Caenorhabditis elegans: one gene and its partner. The protein of the gene in region 2 purifies or fractionates together with the protein of the main gene of each other region. This does not show direct contact. Each region holds a gene or a part of one and is shown on either strand. Other genes may lie near its edges.

What was found.
Region 1: the proteins of ifa-4 (region 2) and Y22D7AL.16 fractionate together in Caenorhabditis elegans (co-fractionation; one large-scale study listed by BioGRID). This does not show direct contact.

What each region holds. Positions count from the first base shown.
Region 1 is NC_003281.10:1,659,924-1,669,515, forward strand, and holds Y22D7AL.16 (C2H2-type domain-containing protein), read right to left. Parts: upstream 5,294-9,592; 5' UTR 5,230-5,293; coding exon 5,180-5,229; intron 4,801-5,179; coding exon 4,771-4,800; intron 4,716-4,770; coding exon 4,659-4,715; intron 4,063-4,658; coding exon 3,915-4,062; intron 3,053-3,914; coding exon 2,900-3,052; intron 2,647-2,899; coding exon 2,528-2,646; intron 2,452-2,527; coding exon 2,289-2,451; 3' UTR 2,181-2,288; downstream 1-2,180. Other genes in the region: Y22D7AR.3 (Ovule protein), read right to left, coding at 5,570-5,694, 5,798-5,870; glb-30 (Globin domain-containing protein), read right to left, coding at 5,990-6,271, 6,961-7,099, 7,227-7,298, 7,367-7,473, 7,953-8,004, 8,055-8,150, 8,626-8,696.
Region 2 is NC_003284.9:4,908,879-4,919,233, forward strand, and holds ifa-4 (Intermediate filament protein ifa-4), read right to left. Parts: upstream 7,102-10,355; 5' UTR 7,099-7,101; coding exon 7,008-7,098; intron 6,492-7,007; coding exon 6,208-6,491; intron 6,152-6,207; coding exon 5,867-6,151; intron 5,824-5,866; coding exon 5,728-5,823; intron 5,683-5,727; coding exon 5,569-5,682; intron 5,521-5,568; coding exon 5,347-5,520; intron 5,298-5,346; coding exon 5,009-5,297; intron 4,558-5,008; coding exon 4,478-4,557; intron 4,110-4,477; coding exon 3,834-4,109; intron 3,773-3,833; coding exon 3,734-3,772; 3' UTR 3,430-3,733; downstream 1-3,429. Other genes in the region: K05B2.2 (Ras-associating domain-containing protein), read left to right, coding at 1-74, 2,327-2,411, 2,468-2,698, 2,947-3,106; K05B2.4 (Acyl-coenzyme A thioesterase 1-like), read right to left, coding at 10,177-10,322.

The DNA of each region.
Region 1 (9,592 bases), on a different chromosome or scaffold from region 2:
TTCACAAAAAAATGAATTTCTAAAAATTTCGAAAATTTTTTTAATTTTCAATTTCTAAAAGAGAAGTTATAAATACTGTAAATTTAACATTTTGAATAAATCAAGTTCATTTTAACTTCAAAATGAGCCCGCACAAGCCTTTGCTCCGCCAATTTTACATAAAATTCCAAATTTTATGGGTCTCGCCACGTAACTCCTAGGGTACTGTAGGTTTTGTAGTTTATATATATATATATATATATTTTTTAATTTTATTTTTAAGAACTATATAACTTCATAAATATAAATTTAGGGTTGAATTTTTTAAATGTTAAAATTTGTTAATTAAAAAAAATTGTTTTTTTTTGCAGAAAAAAAATTTCTGCATTAATTTTCCAATTTTTTGAAATTCCATAGCTTTTTCAGTTTTCAAGATTTTTAGCTGAATTTTAACTTAAAATAATGTCAATTACTTCATCTTTCTAGAAAAATTGTCAAATTTTGATAAAAGTTTCAAAATACAGTAGCCCATGAGTTTTCGCGGAGGGACCCGAAAATTTATAACTTCTGTTTGTAAGCACATGGGGTCAAATTTTTAGAATTAATTTAATTCAAAATAGTTTAAAATAAAATAGTTTAGCTATTAATTTCTGAAATTTAGTATTAGAAAAATTCGAAAAAAAAATTTTGAATATTTTTAAAAAATTTTTAAATTTCGTAACTCTTTCAATTTAAGAGATATTTAGCTGGTTTTGACTCCAAATGTAGAAAAATTTGTTTCTGTACGGTAATTTTATAGTAAATAAAATAGGTTAACAAACTACAGTACCCCAAGAGGTTTCGTAGCGGGACCCAAAATCCGAATTTTTTAAAATTGAATTTCAGTGGGTTTTTGGAGAATTAAAATTAAAAAGAAAACAAAAGTAATATATTATCTAGTATCATATTTTAATATCTAAAATTTCGTTAAAAAATATTTTGAAAGAAATATTTTTTTTAATTTTTAAGATTTTTTGATCATTTTTTTGCAAAATGTTAGGAATTTTATTTTCTACTATTTGATCAAGTTGTTTATGTATGAAACTACACGATTTTTCGTGGCGGGACCCGAAAATTCCCAATGGGCTCAAAGCTCAAAAGAACCTTGAAAAATCAAAAAAAGAAGGCAAAAAACGGTTAGAAAATCAAAATTTCAAATTTCAAAAGCGAAAAAATTAGGTGAAATGCCTTCAAAAACTAGATAACACGTAGAAAAATGAAAAAATGTGGAAAGCAGGCAAACATCGATTTTCGTTTCAACCCATACTTATCAGCTTATCATATTGTCATCACTCCCCTTCCAAAAAGTGGGCAAACAGTGATTCATTAAATGAAAAATTGATTAAAACATTAGAAAATTGTCATTTGACATCTTTAATAAATGAATTTTCAGAAAATTTGCGGAATTTTGATATAAATCATGGAAAATCGGAGAAAATTTCGAAACTTTTGGAATATGAGTCATTATGTAAAGAAATAGTACGAATATTTGCAGGCAAACTTTTTATGGGGAATTTTTTGAAAGCTAATTTTTTAAAAAGAAATTTGAATTCCCGCCAAAAATATTCACAGAATTTTGAATTCCCGCCGAAACTAAAAAAAAAAAATTAACACCCGCCAAATTTTTTAACAGTAATTCGAATCACCGCCAAAAATATTCACAGAATTTTGAATTCCCGCCAAAAATATTCACAGAATTTTGAATTCCCGCCAAAATTTTTAAAAAGAAATTTGAATTCCCGCCAAAAATATTCACAGAATTTTGAATTCCCGCCGAAATTTAAAAAAATTGAATTCCCGCCAAATCTTTCCTCAGAAATTTGAATTACCGCCGAAATTTTTCTCAGAATATTTATATTCCCGTCAAAATTTTTTACAGAAATTTGGATTACCGCCATATTTTTCTCTCAGAAATTTGAATTCCCGCCAAAAAAAATCTCATAATATTTGGAATTCTTCAGAATTAGCGAATTTGTGAAATTTATCTAAAAACTTTTTAAAAAGTAGGCTCTGAAAAGTCTCGAATATTGTTTGTTACATTTCGAATTAAAAATCTTAAAAGTTTTGACCACATTTTTGAGTATAAAAACCCAAAATTGTTAAAACTGTACCAAATTACAGATTCATGCCTAAACTATATCTTACACACATTAATTTTTACCGGGAAAAAAAATATTTATTTCAGACTTTTCCAGACAGAATTTTCTAAATTTTTAGGAAACCAACTATATTAAATAAGCAAAAAAATAATTTTTAACTTTTCTGAAAAGTCAATAATTTCGACGTCTGGACTTCATATCGTTGACGCAGGTCATGCAGGTTCTCGGGCGGTTTGAATGATCAAATGGACATGTGGATTTGTTACAAGTGTCCTCATAACGGCACATATTATGGGAATATATGCATTTGGCTCCAGGACATTGGGGGAAGTTTCTGGAAACTTTTTTTTGGTGAAAACCGTTGTTTTGAGCTTCTGAAATGTGCTCAAAATTCAGAAAAAATTGCTCACTTGCACTTGACCGGCGGGCCATGAGGACAGGATCCAACTCCACGGAGAGCACCACCAACTGAGACATTTTGACTGGAATTACGGCTTCCATGGCGATACATCCGCTTTTTTACTGTCTCCTGGAAAATTAGATTTTGAAAAAGGTTCCAACGGCTCAGCTGGTTACAGGTTTTGCTTCGAAAGAATTGGTCAAGGGTTCGAGTCCCACCAGTGGTAATTGTTTTTTTTTTAAATTTTTTTTATTTGAAAAATTGTTCTAAAATCCCAATTTGAGCCATAACTCGAAAATCGAAAATCTCAGGAAGCAAAATAAACTAAATTTTTTGGATTTTGCTCAAAAAATACGTTTTAAAACCCAAAAATTCTTCAAACCTTAAAAATATGATCCCTGAACTCGTCCCAATCATCATCTGACATTAATTCAGAGCTTTTACCAAATGGCTCCTGGCAATACGCGCAGATTACAGGCTTTGGGCCGTGTCGGTGGGCGGTATGGGCCGCCAGGCGCTCAATTGATTCGGATTTCTGAAAAAAGTTAGTTTTTTCCCCAAAAATCGATATTCCTAGAAAAATCAATATTCCTCCAAAAATCAATAATTTTTCCAAAAATCAATAATTTTCAATATATCTAGAAAAATCAATATTTCTAGAAAAAATCTATGTTCCTCCAAAAATCAATAATTTCTAAAAAATCATAGTTTTTTCCAGAAATTAATATTTCTAGAAAAATTATTATTTCTCCATAAATCAATAATTTCCAACAAATCGATAATTTCCAAAAATCAATAATTTCCAAAAATCATTATTTATCCAATAATCAATATTTCTAGAAAAATCAATATTCCTCCAGAAATTAATGTTTTTTCCGAAAATTTTCCATAAATCAATATATTCCAAAAATCATAGTTTTTTTCCAGAAATTAATATTTCTAGAAAAATCATTATTTCTTCATAAATCAATAATTTCCAAAAATCAATAATTTCTAAATATCGATACTTTTTCCAAAAATCAATACACCTAAAATCGATATTTTTCAGAAAATCATTCTTTTTTCAAAAATTCAATATTTCTAGAAAAGTCAATATTCTTCCAAAAATCAATATTTTTCAAAAACCATTAATTTCCATAAAATCGATAATTTCTGAAAATCAATATTTTAAAAAAATAAATATTTCTAGAAAAATTAATATTTCTAGAAAAATTAATATTTCTAGAAAAATTAATATTTCTAGAAAAATTAATATTTCTAGAAAAATTAATATTTCTAGAAAAATTAATATTTCTAGAAAAATCTATAATTTTTCAAAAACCATTAATTTCCATAAAATCGATATCTTCCCAAAATCAATATTATTTTTAAAAAATCAATATTTCTAGTCCATTTACCTTGTCACAATGATAGCAATTAAATTGATCTTCATGATTTTTAATCTCGTGCTCCGCGAGCTCCCGAATCGAGTCGAAAGCTTTCCGGCACTGACGGCAGTTGAATTGGGGAGCCTTCGGTGTCCGAGAACGGTCACGGACTGGGGAGCTGGAATTTTCGACAATTTTGGATTAAAACGGGAGAAAATTGGGCTAAACTTGTTTGCATTTTTTGAATTTTTCGAAAAATAGGAAGGACATAGATAGATCGATGAAAATAGTGATACAGTAGTGATAAAAATTTTTTTTTGTTACAATAAATTGATATCAACACAACAAATCATATATTGAGCCATAGCCTGGCTCATAATGCTCGGAGAGCAATATAACCTAGATTTTCGGATTTAGCAAAAAATTTTAAATAAAAAATTGTTCCAATGGCTCAGCTGGTTACAGCCTTGACTTCGAAAATAGGTCAAGGGTTCGAGTCCCACTAGTGGTAACAACTTTTTTTTGTTTAATTTGGCATAACATTTGGTTTTTTTCTGAAAAAATTGTCCTAAAATTCAATTTTGAGCCATAGCTGGGCTCGAAATGCTCAAAATTTAAAATTCCAAGCCAAGTAACTCTATAAAAATAATAAATGAGCAATTTGCCATGTAATCCATGTTTCCAAAAAAACACAACACAATAGATAAATAAGATACTTCTTCCCATATATATAGATAGTTTCAAAATATTTTCCAACTACAAAAATCAATATACTCAATCTCCTCAAACGTCCCACGGCTTGTTGAGCGGCTGCGGTTTCTTGCAATTGGACTGCAAAAGCGTCAATTTTAATTTTTTTTTTTGATTTTAAAAGTGACTAACATACCTTCTAGACCTTTCCCTGTTTTGTTTTGACCTGAAATTTAGAATTCAAAAAAAAAAGAAGATTGCTAGAAAACACCCGTACTTGATATATTTTCAAGTTTTATAGTGAAAAATTCGAATTCTCCGCCATGAAAAACCTAAATACACTGCCGGGGACTCGAACCCGCGACCTTTTTCACAGAGGTCAAACCTCTTACCCACTGCGCCACGGCGCCCATTACGCGCAGCAGCAGCGCCTGGCTCGGCGTACCGGTGGCGCAGTCGGTAACAGGGCTGGTTTTGGTGAAAAGGTCAGGGGTTCGAGCCCCCGCTGGGGTATTCAGGTTTTTCATAGCGGAGAATTCAAATTTTTCACTTTAAAATTCAAGATATCAACTCTAAAAGCACATTTTCAGACAAATCTTGCTTACCTTTTCTTATAGTCCTTCTTAGTTCTGCGATTATCCTCGCTGCTGCTCATTTTGGCACCTTGGCAGAAATAAGAGAAAAAAGGGGAATTCGTAAAGCAACAAAGCTGACAACAAAAATAAAAAGAAGTTGGAGCTTTTCCTTCGGGGAGAGGAAGGCGACCAGTTACCACGGAAACCTCGCCGCACCCCCTAATTGATAAGAGTTTTTCTGATTTCCACCTGCTGGTCGGGCTCTCGGCGTGCCCAGTGAGGTGTGAACTTTTTGTGGGAAAAAAGGAAAAAAAATTAGGGAAGGAGATTTTCATGTATTTGAAAATCAAAAAACAAAAATCATAGTAAAAATTTAAAAATCGATAATATATATATAATATACGAAAATAATCAAAAAATTCAAAAAAAAATCGATAACTTTACGAAGGAGTCGGCGAAGATTCCTCGAATGGTTCGACGTCGGATTTTCGGCGACAAATGAAATATTCGGGTACAATAATCGATAATTCGCGGCGACGTAGAGCCTGAAAATTAGATTTTTTTGAAGAAAAAATTATCGATTTTTTTTTGGAATTTTTTTTTGAGAAATATTGATTTAAAAAAAAAATTTTAGAAATAAAAACTTACATATCCCGCCGAGCATTTCGTGCAATTGAGCCAGCCAACAAAAAATTGGAATATTTGTGAAATTCGGGACCATACCCGTTGAAAAAAGCAAAAAAATTATTTTTGAAAAAAATCTATTTTTTTCAATTTTTTTATAAAAATTTAAAAAATTGTTAAATATTGAAAAATCACAATAACTACAAAAATATCATTTTAAACATGCATTCTAGCATTTGGAGATGCTGAAAATCGTCGTCTAACACATTTCGGCGACATTGAGGCCAGCGTTTTCAGAAAGTTACAGGTCGATGACGTCATCGGCTCTGCCGGTGTGGCAGTTATGTAGGCCAAGCTGTGACGGGTGGAAGCCGTGCGATGTTGTCTGCCAGAAAATGCAGAAATTTTCACCTGAGTAAGGTCCTGTTTCGTTTCGACGCTTAAGCCCGAGCTTAGGCCCGAGTCATCGCCGGATATCGAGTGCTGGCCGTTTATTGCCTGAAATTTATTGATTTTTCAATATGAAAACTAAGTCAGCAGTAGTCTGAAAATTTATCCATCGACTGATTTTTAGATCGTTTGAAAATATTGATTTTTGACTGATTTATGTAGAAATTTGTAAAAATCTAAATTTTGAAAAATACTTCGAGTCGCTACTCAGCCAATTTTCGAGATTTCACAATTATTTATGAGAATATAGATTTGTCAGACTGAGAGCTTCAAATTAAGTATAAACACGACTAGGTTCCGTGCAAAAACAATTTAGGCTCCGTCCACTTGTTGAAAAATATTGTGAAACTTCAGTTTTTCGAGAAAATACTGTTGTTTTCATTTAGATTTAGTGAAATTCAGTTTAGCCACTTTGAGAGCTTTTATTTAAGTATAAACACGACTAGGTTCCGATCGAAAAACGATTTAGGCTCCGCCCACTTCTTGGAAAAAATTGCGAAATTTGGGAGATTATGATTTTTCAAACAATTTTTCATTACATTTCTTCAATATTATCATTAAATTTAACTTTGTCACGCGGAGAACTTTAATATTAAGCTCCGCCCATTATTTTTGGCTCCGCCCACTTAAACTTTTTTTTTTTTGAAAAATCGATTTTTTTTCTTCATTTTCAATCGATTTTCCTCCTTTTTTTTTGCCAGATTTTCACTATTTTTTCTAATTTTCCTTGAGCAAACCTGTTTATTGGATTTTCTAATAGCTCCCGACTCGGAATATCCGACCTTCATGCGATCAATGATGAAGCGGAGCACCTCCCGCCACAGAATAATGGCCGAATCGATTTCGGCAAACGACATTTCATTTCGCTTGTGGAACCTGTGAAATCTGGGATTTTCATGGGTAAAATTTGTAGAAAATCGGTGATTTATCGATTTTTTGGCGGTAAAATCGATAATTAATTGATTTTTTTTTGCACAGATTTTGAAAAATTGATAAAACTCACTTATTATGTGATTTCATTGCTTTCCGAAAATGAAACAACACACATTCCTTGAAAACCGACCAATAATGAGCGCTGAAATTAAGAATCAAAAAATCAATAAATTATTGATTTTTTAAACCCCTCCCCCCCCGGCGGCCTACCTAAAACCCAGCTGTTCTTCATGTTTTGCGTGGATTTTTCCCAAATTTAGAAAAACCGCGTCGAGTTGAGCAGGATCTTCCAAATGTGTCATTGTTGACTCGATAACCTGCAAAAAATTGATAAAATCAATGAAATTAAGGTAAAAATTGAAAATTTTATTAAATTTAGTTGTTTTTGAGTCGCTACTCACCCATTTTAGTAGAGTGGATATTGATTTTAGGATTTTTGAAATCTCCCGGACAGGAGCTTTGATTTAAGTATAAACACGACTAGGTTTCGTAAAAAAACCATTTAGGCTCCGCCCACTTCTTGGAAATATTGCGAAATTTGGGAGATTATGATTTTTCAAACAATTTTCCGTACTTTTCGAATATTTTTTAAAAATGATACTAAGTTTAATTTACCCCACTGAGAACTTTAATATAACTATACATTTTTCTTTAGCTATTTAGGCCCCGCCCACTTTTTGGGGGCGGAGCCATGGAATTTCGTGTCATTTTTTTAAAACAAGACATGTGGGGGGTCATTTTAAAGGTCTCAATGAGCTGAACTCATTTTTTTATGTAAAAAAATGTTTAAACCCACCTGCAAAAACCGCACTGCGTGAAAAATGAACTCGTTGCTCTTTTTGTCCTCTCTGAAATTTTTGGGGTGGTTATTTTGAGTATTTTTCTGGAAAATCGATACTTATAGTCTTTCATCATGAAGGAGAACATGAGTTTTGCATCGGGAGCTTGTTCGAATATCATTTGGAATATATTTACAGCCACTTGTTGCATGTCTCTGAAAAAAAAAATTTTTGGAAATTTTTTGAAAAATCTGACATTTTCGAAAATTCATAACTTTTTCATGTTTCGAGATTTTTTGCTAATTTTTGTTTTATTAATCTCTATTAGTACCTATTAACTATTTAAAATTAGTTTTGTAACAGTCACCCAAAAAACTACAGTAACCCAGGAGTTTTCGTGGCGGGGCTCAAAAATTCATAACTTTTTCAATTTTTGAAATTTTTGCTCATATTTTGCTTTTAAGTTTACAATAAATGTTTGTTATACGCAACATCAAAAAAATTAACAAAAATTCAAACAAATCTACAGTAACCCAAGACTTTCGTGGCGGGACCCATTTTTTCTGAAAATCAGCGGAACCAAGCCATATTTGGGGTCAAATGAAAGCTCTCAATGAGCTGAACTCAAATTATTTAATAAAATCCACTGAAGTATTTAAAATAATCTTAAAATTTGGAAAAAAAACTCACTTGGACACAATTCCCCAGGACTTGTTCAGAATTTCCCTGTCTATCGGTGTCAAATGGGATAATGACTCCATTTTCATGGAAAATCTGAAATTTTTCTTATGTTTTTGATAAAAAAGCGTAAAATACAAAAAAAAAATTAGAAAAAGTCAAGAAAAAATTTTTTAAATAAAAAAAAAATTTTCAGAATTTTTTTCAGAAAAAAAAAAGAAGCCGAACAACTCGAAAAAGTGCTCGAAATAATATAAATTCTATAATTTATGTAAATAATATTACTTGGAAGCCGAAAATGCATAGTAATTGAGCTCATGAAGAGAGAAGGAGAAGGACAAGAGCAAAAAAAAAGTTTCTGAAAATTCTGGAGTCCCGCAGCGAAAACACGTGGGGTACTGTAGTTTTGAGGTTTAATTTTTCAAAAGTGTACCCAATTTTAAACAAATATTTTATTTAGGCTCCACATAAAAAATCAGCTCGAAATATGTAAAGTTGAACAAGTTACGGGGTTTTAAACTAGACACTCTAAATTTTTTTGAAAATTCTGGAGTCTTGCCTCAAAAACTCGTGGAGGTAGCTTTGTAGCTTTGTGGCCAAAAAATTTGAAAGTAAATATTTTTACTAAATAATATTTTATTCATAATTTGAATTCATAATTAGCTGCATATATTCAAAATTAAAGAAGTTATGAGTTTTTGAAATTAAACTTTTAAATTTAAAAAAAAAAAATTGCAAAAATTGTTTTTTTCCAAACTTTCAAAATTAAAAAAAAAATTCCTTTACTGGATTTCAGAAATTTAAACTATATATATATATATATATTTTTTTTTTAATGTTTCAAATTCAAAAAATTCCACCCTGACTATGAATTCAACAACCAAAAGCATAATAATTGGGGGCTCCGCGAGCCGGGCTCATTTTCAGATATTTTCAATCATTTTTTTGACAGAAAATGAAAAATTGCATCCACTTTTTT
Region 2 (10,355 bases):
GTTGCCAACTTACGCCTCGGCAGGTGGTGTCACTGGCACTCTCGGACGCAACACCCGTCGGCCTCCGCCACCAGGTAAGGTTTATTCCATATCAATTTTTTTAAAAATAAATTTGTCGAGAATTTTTATATTAAAGCGAAGTATATATTATATTAAAGCGAAGTATATAGATACAATATCAAATTATCATATTTAGTTAAAGTTATCAAAAAAAAACATTTTTGAAATTTTTTTATTTACAGTCAAAAAAAGTCGAAGTTTTCACATATGATAATTATGTTAATCGAACCAATAATCTTTTTTCTTTAGTGACAATTTTTATTGTTTAATGACGTCGATATATCTTGTAGTTGAACACTCTAGGGGTTTGAAGCAGCAGCAATACTTGAAATTATCTAAAATTTCTACATTTTTGAACAACGTGCTTACCAAAAGGTTGACAGGCAATTTGAGCAAGAACTAAAACAAAATTGGATAATTATCGTTATTATAATAATTAGTACTGTTGGAATTTTGACTAAATTTTTCAAAAAATCGGATTATTTTCTTCTCGTGATCAGTTGTATAAAATGAACCGAATCGTCGCAATTGTATACCGGCCAACACTTTTTTTCTGACTTTTTTTCTCAAAGGAAGTGATCCAAATGTCGGCCAGCAGAAGGAAGTGACCGCACATATCACTTAGAATTGTGTTATTTTACCATTGAAACGTTTTGTCACACTAGATATTCATGTTTCAAATTGATTTTTTCACTCGTTGAGCTCAAAATTAAAGCTGGGTAGAATTTTTTTCAGCATTTCTTCAAAGTGACATATTGCACCATGCTGTTCCAACGTATTTGAAAAAATTAAATTCAAATACAGCAACTCACTTGATTTTTTGATTAAAAACATCAATTACAGCTGACATGTTTGAACAACATGCTCAAAACAGGCTGGAAAGATGTCAAGTGCCGAAAAATCAAATTTTAAAAATGGATAATTACCGATTGTCAATTTTCAGGCTGATTTTGAGCCCTTTTTTCAAAATTGTCAGCTATAGTTGATGCATATTTTCAGATATATTAACTGATTTTCTCTATTTTAATATTAATTTCCAACAACCAACGTTCAAAAAACATGGCGCAATAGGAATTTTTTGTAGAATTACCAAAAATAATTGAACTCAAAACGAACTCAAAAATTTAATTTTTTTTTCGTTTTTTAGTGAATAACCAAGTATCAAAAAGTGAAATTTGTTTAAGTATTGATGTGTTTCAAATTTTCTGGCAATCGGAATTTTCGAAAATTTGAACAGTTTCGATATCCCCTCGTCTCTGGCTATGAGTCACACTGTATGCATTTCCTAACATTTAACATTTTTGAGAAAATTAAAAATTTAAATGAGCTCAAACTATCTTAAATAGCGGAAGCTGTATTTTAGATTTCTTCGACAAAATCGAACATTTTGGATTCTTATCAATTAGTCATACATACATTTCTCGTATGAAACCAGATAGGACCCAATTTGATCTTATAAAATACAAATTTTTGAACAATTTTTCCCAACTTCTCAATTTTTCTGGTTCATCACCTTATTGTTATGAAATTTTCTGACTAGAGCTATTCTTTTATAGTCAAAATGTCATCTGAGTTTTTTATTAAAAAAATCAAAAGTTTTAAATTCCAATTTTTTATCATATATCTTTGTTCATTATCATTTCATTTTTTGAAAACTGGCACCCAACTTTTTGAAAAGTAAAGTACTAACGGAAACACAAAGACGGCCCCCCGGAAAAGTACAAATCATTGTCAACAAAAGACTGCTTCTATTTGATTTTTTCACGTTCGGTACATGGTTCTCGATAACCTCCCGGTGTTGACCGCTTCAGTTGATTGCAGAATGAAAAAAAACTTGTCTGTCATTTGTTCAATCGTTCTCTCTCTCTCTTTCTTACTCTCTATCTTTTTTGAAAATTGTCCCCTTAACGTTATCTAAGCCATTTAAAGTTTAAATCAGTTTTACTTTTATTTATAGATGATTTTAGTTTGGCCACTCCCCGCGGTGAACCATTTTTCGTCACTTTCAATTTTATTTTATTTTTCAGTTTTTAAAAAAATACAATCAAAAATGTGATTTTTGAAAAAGAAAAAAATACATATTACGTCAATTTGAATTCGGCAACTATATTTTTAGAAATCTAGCAGTGTTGCAAATTTTGTGTCACACTATCTCACATCCTCCTCCGGTTTTTGGTTGAAAATAGTATGAAAGACCGCCCACGCGACCTGACCGGATAGTTCATCGTCATCCGACCATGTCTTCTAGTATATAATCTCATTTCAGACTACATGTCAGTCATGGAGAAAAAGAATATCACGATGGGCGCCGCCACTATCCCACAGAAAGACGATTTTGATTGTTTCAAAAGGTGAGTCTTTGGTGATCTGATTGGTTGTGCCTTACTCCCAATTGAAGAAATTTCAGAGCCGACGTGAAAAAGTTGTCGGAAACGATGAATCAACAAGAAGTCGCCGAGTATCTTGTGCAGGAGGAAGAGCTTCGTCAACTGCTTAAGCAACAGAAAAATTTGCGAGCAATTCTGAAGCCGATGATCGCTGCAAACTGGCCGCAACAATACCAACTTGAGCTCAAGAAATCGCACAAGCTGAAGGCTTCGCTAGCAGCTACAAAAGAAGCAATCAACAAGACTAGAAGGTAAGATCTTTGAACTTTGAACTATGCCAGACAAAAGAGACCCCGGAAATTATGATGATCATATCGATCCACGTGATTGTGACCACGTCGTCCTTTATCTATTGACATTGAGAGTGTTCGGCTGATTGCCTTATCAAGGACGTCACGTCGACCAAATGTATTCAAAATTCTGCAACTTGGACCACAAAATTGACAAACGAAATGCACTTTAGAAGAACTGTTTGTTTAATTGTTTTTTTAAATTTCAGTGACATCTTGCGCGTCGAAGAAACCGAAAAAGACTTGATGAAGAAGTTGGCCGAGTTCAAGAAGCAAGATGAGAATGGAGATGAGAATTCAGAAGTCTTGGAGACATCTTTCGACTTGGGATGTTCAGGGACCTCCACCCCACTAACTGTCATTGCCTGAGCTCCTTACTTTCAAAATTTTAGCGTTCATGTTATCTGTGTATTTTTGTCGATCCACGTGTCAAGCTATCGGCTTTATCCCACTTCAGTTATTTCAAGTTTTTCCCTCTCACAAACCCCCACTCAAGAATTGGCTTCATTCCTTACCGCATTATTCAATCATCAGACTCTGGAAAGTTTACATTTTCCCACGAATCACTTTTTTCTGTATTTGTTTCTATATGTCATTTCTCCTTACTTTCCCTGTGCATTTACCCATTTCTATTCCCCCAGTTGTCCAACAAAAAGTTCCCAAAAAAATAACCAAGCAAACTGATCAGAAATAAAATAAGCAGTTTATAGTTTACAAATGTTAATTGATGGAAAAAGCACATGGTAAAGCAATGGAAATGTTAGAGAGTTAGCCAAAAAATGAAAGGCTTTTCGTATGATATGAAACGAAAATCAATGTTTCACTTTGGCGGTTCAAAACAGTATTGGTTTATTCTGAAAATCCGAACATTTATAGGAATGGCTAACGGTGAGAACAAATGTATCTTGGGTCAAGATTCGATCAAACATTAAAAGTAGAGAGTTGAGGCAAGCGAGAGTAATTCCGGGTTCAATAGGATTTAATTGGTTGATGCAATTAGGTGTGTGAAGCACGTTGGCTGTGGGAAGCACGGTCCTGAAACAAGATAAATAACGTTTCCAGTCAGTTCCAGCGCGCATAATTTATTGACGCTTACCTCTCCTTCTTTGTTGTAGAGAGTAGTAACGACGTCGTTTCCGGTGCCGAACGAGTCTTCGAGGTCGTACACAAGACTATCGGGTGGGGAATGAACTCCCTGCCCACGTGCGAAAATTTTCACGCTCTTTTGAGCACGAAGGGTGAACTCGCGCGGGAAGGTGAACACGATTTCGCGTTTTCCGGCAATCTTCCGACGGAGTTTCCAGTCTCCGATGTTCTCATCACGTCTTGAGATGTTCTCCAGTACAATGTACTTTCCAGATGGCTCGGCTTCCTGAAAATGGTGGATTTTTTTCTTGCAAAAATGAAAAATCGAAAACACTGTTTTCAGAAATTTGGGCACGGCCACTTTAAGGAAAGTTTTTGTTCAGCATGATCCGACATATATTTGGTTTTGCACAGGACTAGGTTCTGAGTGAGCAGCGAACCCGGTTAATGTCGGATCATGCAAAATCGTCACACCAGGCACATATTTCTAAATTTTGTGCACGGCCATTTTGAAGAATAGTCATTTTCTGAAGTGTTCAGTGGAAATTGCAGGCAAAAACTCGCTCAAAAAATGTCCATGATTGCTTTCAAAATTTTGCTATAATTGTTTTTTTCAGAATATACATCAATTTTTGGGATGTAATTTCCACTCACCTGAATTGCAATATTTCCTTTTGCTGATCTGGAATACGACGAATGACTAGTCGTTTCACCTTTGAGAACTCGAAGACTCTCTGCAACAAAACACAAAAACTGATATAAATTTGCAACTAACAATGCCTCGTGACACCTATTACTCCTATTAATCTTACCGTGCGGCTTTCTGCGAATTTTATCACCGACAAGGTAATGGGTATGGGGAACGTCGTCAAAAGTGATAGTCTCGTATTGAGAACAATGAATTTCTGGCATGTTACTTTTTTGGGTTAAAGATGAAACAATGCTGTTCCAAATCAAAAGTAAAGCGATTAAATAGGAGTACTAAATTGACCAAGGTATATCAACAAGGGGACACACCCAGCGGTCTCTCTGGGCGGAAAACAATAATAAAGTTACGTTACACAGTTTGGTGACCGCATGACTTGAAAACTTGAAACAAGTTATCAGTGGACGTATACTTTAAATTTTAACCGTAATTTGTGGTCATCGTAACGTGAAGTAAACATTGAGTATACGCGAACCTACCAATTTCCTTGGTTTGATGAATAGATGTTGTCTTAACAACCTGCTCGACGAGCTGACGTAGACCTGCGCGATTCTCTTCTCCATCAAGCATCTTACGGTAGATCACAATTTCAGCATCGAGAGTCTGTTTTGTATCAATGAGCATTTGAAGCTCAACCATCAGGATCTTGCTCTCGTCACGAAGTTTGTTGATCGATGTGTCCTTATCGTTCAGTGATTGTTCATATGATCTCATATCCTCTTCCATCTGGTAGTTGAGGTCTTCGATTTGTTTTTCGAGGAGAAGATTCTGAAATGTTGACAAATAATATCAGATGTATATAGTCATCAAAACGAACTCTTCCTTCTAGATCCGCCATCTTTCCACGCATATCACCAAGTGTTGTGCGGAGTCTCTTAACTTCCTCGCGAGCATAATTCTGCTCCAAGCAGTTGCGAGAATTTTGAGTGTGAATTTCTTGAACCTTCAGCTTGTACCAAGACTCGATGTCAGTACGGGTAGTGTTGCTCACCTGTAATTCAAGTCTCTATTTTTTACCTCTTTTAATGACTTTTCTCACATGATCATATTCGCTTCTGATCTCACGAATAGCAGAGGATAACTCATTCTTGAAATATTCGCGGTTTTCCACCGTAGTATCACGAGATGCCATAGCGAGAAGATCGTGGATTTCCTGAAAAAGACACTCGTTGAAAGCTGTACTAATTGTTTTTCATACCGAATCATGAATTCTGCGAATGAAATCACACTCCTCCAGTAGTGTCTGCACTTGATTTTGATAATCGATGCGGTTCAGAGTTTCTTGTTCCACAGCCTGAAAGCTGTACATATAAATTAAGTTTTCTACTGAAACTTACATTTCTGGCATGATGAAGTGAGTCGATCATACGATGATTTTCGCGCTTCAAATGACCGATGCTTTCTTCCATCAGAGAAATTCTTCTTTTCAATAGCTCAATCTCGGCTTCCAATGCTCCAAGTCTTCCGAGCACATTGTCAAGCTCTTTACGTGTAACGTCAGCACCTCTTTCAGCCTCATGAAGTTTGTTTCTATAGTTGTTCAGCTCTTCAACAAGTTTCTTAATTTGATCTTCTAGCTGAGCTCTTTCTTTGTCAGAATCGGCGATCAGGTCTTTCGCACTCTGAACAGAATTTAAAGTTTCTCAGATTTTGCTGTATATAATATTCATTCACTTACTCTGAGCTCAGTCTCATACATAACTTTAACACTTGTAGAATCGTGTCCCCATTTTCCACGGAGCAAATTCAAGTCCTTCTCCATCTTGCGATTTTGAGCCTCCAAGAATCGAACTTTCTCAATGTAGCTCGCCAGGCGGTCATTGAGTTCACTCATTTCTTTTTTCTCGCGAGTACGAGATTCACGAATGGCAGAGGCGGCATGGCCTCCGAATGGAGACATGCCTGATGTTAGATTAGATCCACCGATCTCTGTGATCTTGAGTGTGCGGCTAGTTCCAGAAGCTGAAATTTGAATTTTTGGAAGTCAGTTTTTGTAGTTTGAAGTAGTTTTTAAACGTGTATCAGAACTGAAAAATAACACTTGACAAACATGACCATAAAACAAAAAAAATTTGTAGGTTTTCCAGAGGAATCAATTCATTAATGTTAATAATTTTTTAACACTTTTTAAATTTTTATTTTTAACTTTACAGTCAAAAAAGTTCACTTAATCATTTTTCACCAATCATAATTTTGGTAGTGAGACAATAAAACATTCCACAAGTTTTTTCTTTTAATTGAATTTTAATTGATTTTATTTGTACATTTTGAAAGTTCAGATCAGCAAAAATGTTCAAAACTTCTCAAAAGGTCAGGGTTGTTGTTTGAACGTTTGGCATATTGCCAATTGAATATTGTAAAACATAAATTAAAACATTTGGAGGGTTTAATTTTAATATAAATCATATAATACATCATATAATACAATTTTAAAGACAAAGTACTGCTCATATTCAAAATATTCATCTGAAAACTCACAAATAGTACTTCCATAGGTGGCGGTGGATTGCATTGTTCTGTTAAACGTTGGTCGAACCGAAATTGAGCTTCGGTATTCGCTCTCCGACATTTCCTACAAACATGGAAACTTAAATAGTTTTCAATTAATTGCATTTTCATAATCGAAAATTAAAAAAAAAACACAGCGAACTATTTTTCGATGAAAAAGTGTAGAAAAGTTACCTCATAGTAAATGACGTTATACATATGTGACAAGAATATGAGTGAATATGACACAGATTAGAGATGGATCGTTTGTAGGACACAATGACAATGCGCGAGATCTATTAGCTGTTTCGAGAGCCCTAACTCTTGACAGAACAAAAAACCGTGTTACAAATTGGCGCGCGCACTATTTATTTTGACGGGACTTGGCATGCGTGGAAAGAGGATGCCTAGGAGGGTTTACTCCTAATTGTCTGTATAGTCAAATTATAGAAGGAAAAAACCAGGCATGAAACAGAAAATGAAACAGAAACTAAAAACTGGGAGAGTGTAACGGTTCATCGAGCTATTGACGAACGCGCACTGACCGCTATTCAAAAGCGGACGGCGGTGGCGACGGCGATTCGGTGACCGATTACTAGATGCTAGCTGCCGTCATGGCGTGTTTATACACAATGCTACTGTTTCACAACGTTTCCATATTCATGAGTATTAAAGGATCGTAAACACCTTATATTATTCTGAATTGTTTTGGTTGTGAAGGGATGACAAAAGATAAGCACGTCAAAACTAAAATCGAAAAATGGAAAAATTTTTAGTATGCGATAAGGGGAGGATAATGGGAATACAAATTGACAAAAATAAGTTCAGAGCATCGAAACTGCGTGTTCTAAAATTTAGGTGAAATGTTTACGACTTGTTAAAAATTCAATGTTCAAAAGGGTCTTAATCTATAATTCTGAAATTTATTTGATTGTGTCTATCTCAGAAACTATTAGCGTTGGGAAAAAGTTCAATAAATAAAATTTAGCTGATTATATTGTCTACAGGTTCAGATTGTTTCAAATCTGCACCCCGCGATCTCGTTCTTAGATAAATCGGCCGACATCTTACAAGTCAGCCTTTGATTATGGTTCGTGATTTACTTGTACAGCCAAAATAACAATTATTAATGAAATTGTTTGTATACAAGTTCATTTTAAAACTGCCAAAAAATTGAAGTTAAACATTTAAAATAAAAACAACACTGAAAAAAAAACTCACGGCAAACGGTCTTCTTTAAAACGGAATTTAAAATTAAAACTTCCCTTAAAATTCAAATCTACATAAAATGTTCTGAAACATAATGCTAAGATGTCTGTTGATTAATGAAACTTATGATTTGTATAAAATAAATTGCATTATCATCAGGAAAAGAGTCATTTTTTCAGTACATGCGAACTTTATTAATTAAGAAACTAGAAAAAAAAACAAACTTTCCTTTTTTGTTTTTAAGTATTATACTAACGTTTAAAAGGAAGGTTGCATTGGAAAAATAGAACCAGTGTCATTTTTAAAAAAGCTCAGTTACAGTACTCCCTTTTAAGGAGACCGTGTCGGACAAACAAACCGTAGGTGTTGCCTGAAATATATATGCAAAATAACACGGAGGCGGAGCTGTTGCCTTCATGTACACAAACGAAACTCGGCCTGTAAAATCAGGGAGAGAAGAAAAAATGGGCGAAAAGGGCGGATTGATAGCGGGTATCAAAACAAACATTTGCATTTTGAGAGTCTCTTTTTAAACATTTTTTTACTTTTTTGCTTTACAATTGCGGGAGGGGGAGGTAGGGAAATAACATATTTGTTGGGTAGTGCATATGAGTCAAAAATTGCACGCAGGTGAAATAGTAAAAATTGAATTTTGGTGAGATTTAAATGAAAATTAAACTAACAACACACGTATTACTAATTCAACAACGTTTATTTGAAATGGAAATTATTTCTTAATGCGTCTTTAGCTTTTAATTGGTATTTTCTACTTACACTGGCAATTTTGCAATTTTTGTAAAATGAGCAACGCCACATCGCAAACTATCCGTATAAAATGGCACAAGACCGAAATTCATAATAAAAGTGGTATTTTTTGTTGTATTTTCCAAGAACGTTGACTAAATTGCTTAATTCTTCTGGTGCATTTTGGTTAATCATAACGCGTTTTTATGTCAACTAATTATTTTTTAATTTTCAATTATCTAATTTTTCTAATTTTTATCTATCATTATAATTAATCTAATTTTTAATTAGTAAGGTATGTTTTCAATTGATATTTAATTAAACACAGGTATGCGTTGCAAATATGCTAAATTATTAATAATTCAATAAAACCTAATGTCCTAAAACACGTATAAGTTGGAGAATTTTAGCGAAATTTAGCCTTTTGTCAAATTTTCAATTATAAAAAGTGCACGAGAAGGTTTAGGAAAGTTACAGTACTAGTGATTTCATTCTATATACTCAAATACAAAGCAACGCAAGTTTTTGATCTATGTAGACAATAAGCTTGGGGATAAACTACGTCGTCTGCAACGTATTAAAAACACATAAATAACAACTGGAAACTTTGCGAATCCATATATAATGTGAAAATTCAGCGTTTCGCTTCTAATAAAGAGTATGACAGTTTTTCGGGACAGATGCTAACATTTCTTGAAAAGTTAAACCGCGCCCGTAAACTGATTACAGTTCATATCCTATTCAGGGGTATCGGTTCGGAACGTAAAAACAGGTTATGTATTTTGTATTCTGAATATTTTTCATAAGAACTGACTAAGCCGTTTCGGTGCGCTCAACGTGCGGATTACAGTGTACCAATACACATATTGCAATACGACTCCCTTTGTTGTTGTCGTTCTGCATAATTATTCATGGAACGCGTAGGTTGAAGGCGATAATGATGTATCATTTGTACCTATTGCGGGTGGGGGACAATAACTTCACAATATGTATGTCTCTTTTCAATTTTGATTGTGACTCACCGGCAACCATCTCAAACGTTTATCAATTTGTCGTCGAACGCAATTTCAGATGCTTTTTTCGCTTTTTTTGTGTTCGAAATGATTGGAATTTCATTTCGACATACAAAGAGAGTATTTATATTCAAATCAATTTTTTGTAAGTAAAGAAATGGAGAGATGATTTTATTTGCACAGAGAAATGAAGTTCAAAGTTTTGCCAAATGTCTCGAATAGTCAGGAAGAGGAGTTGGCGCGCCGAGGTGTTCGGAGAAAAATTGGACAGTTTTTTCCCAGACTTCAAACTGACTTTTTCCGTGAAGGCTTGTTTCACCACCATATGCTTGGAAGGTTCCTGAAAATTTGAATTTTAGAAAACAAAGTTAAC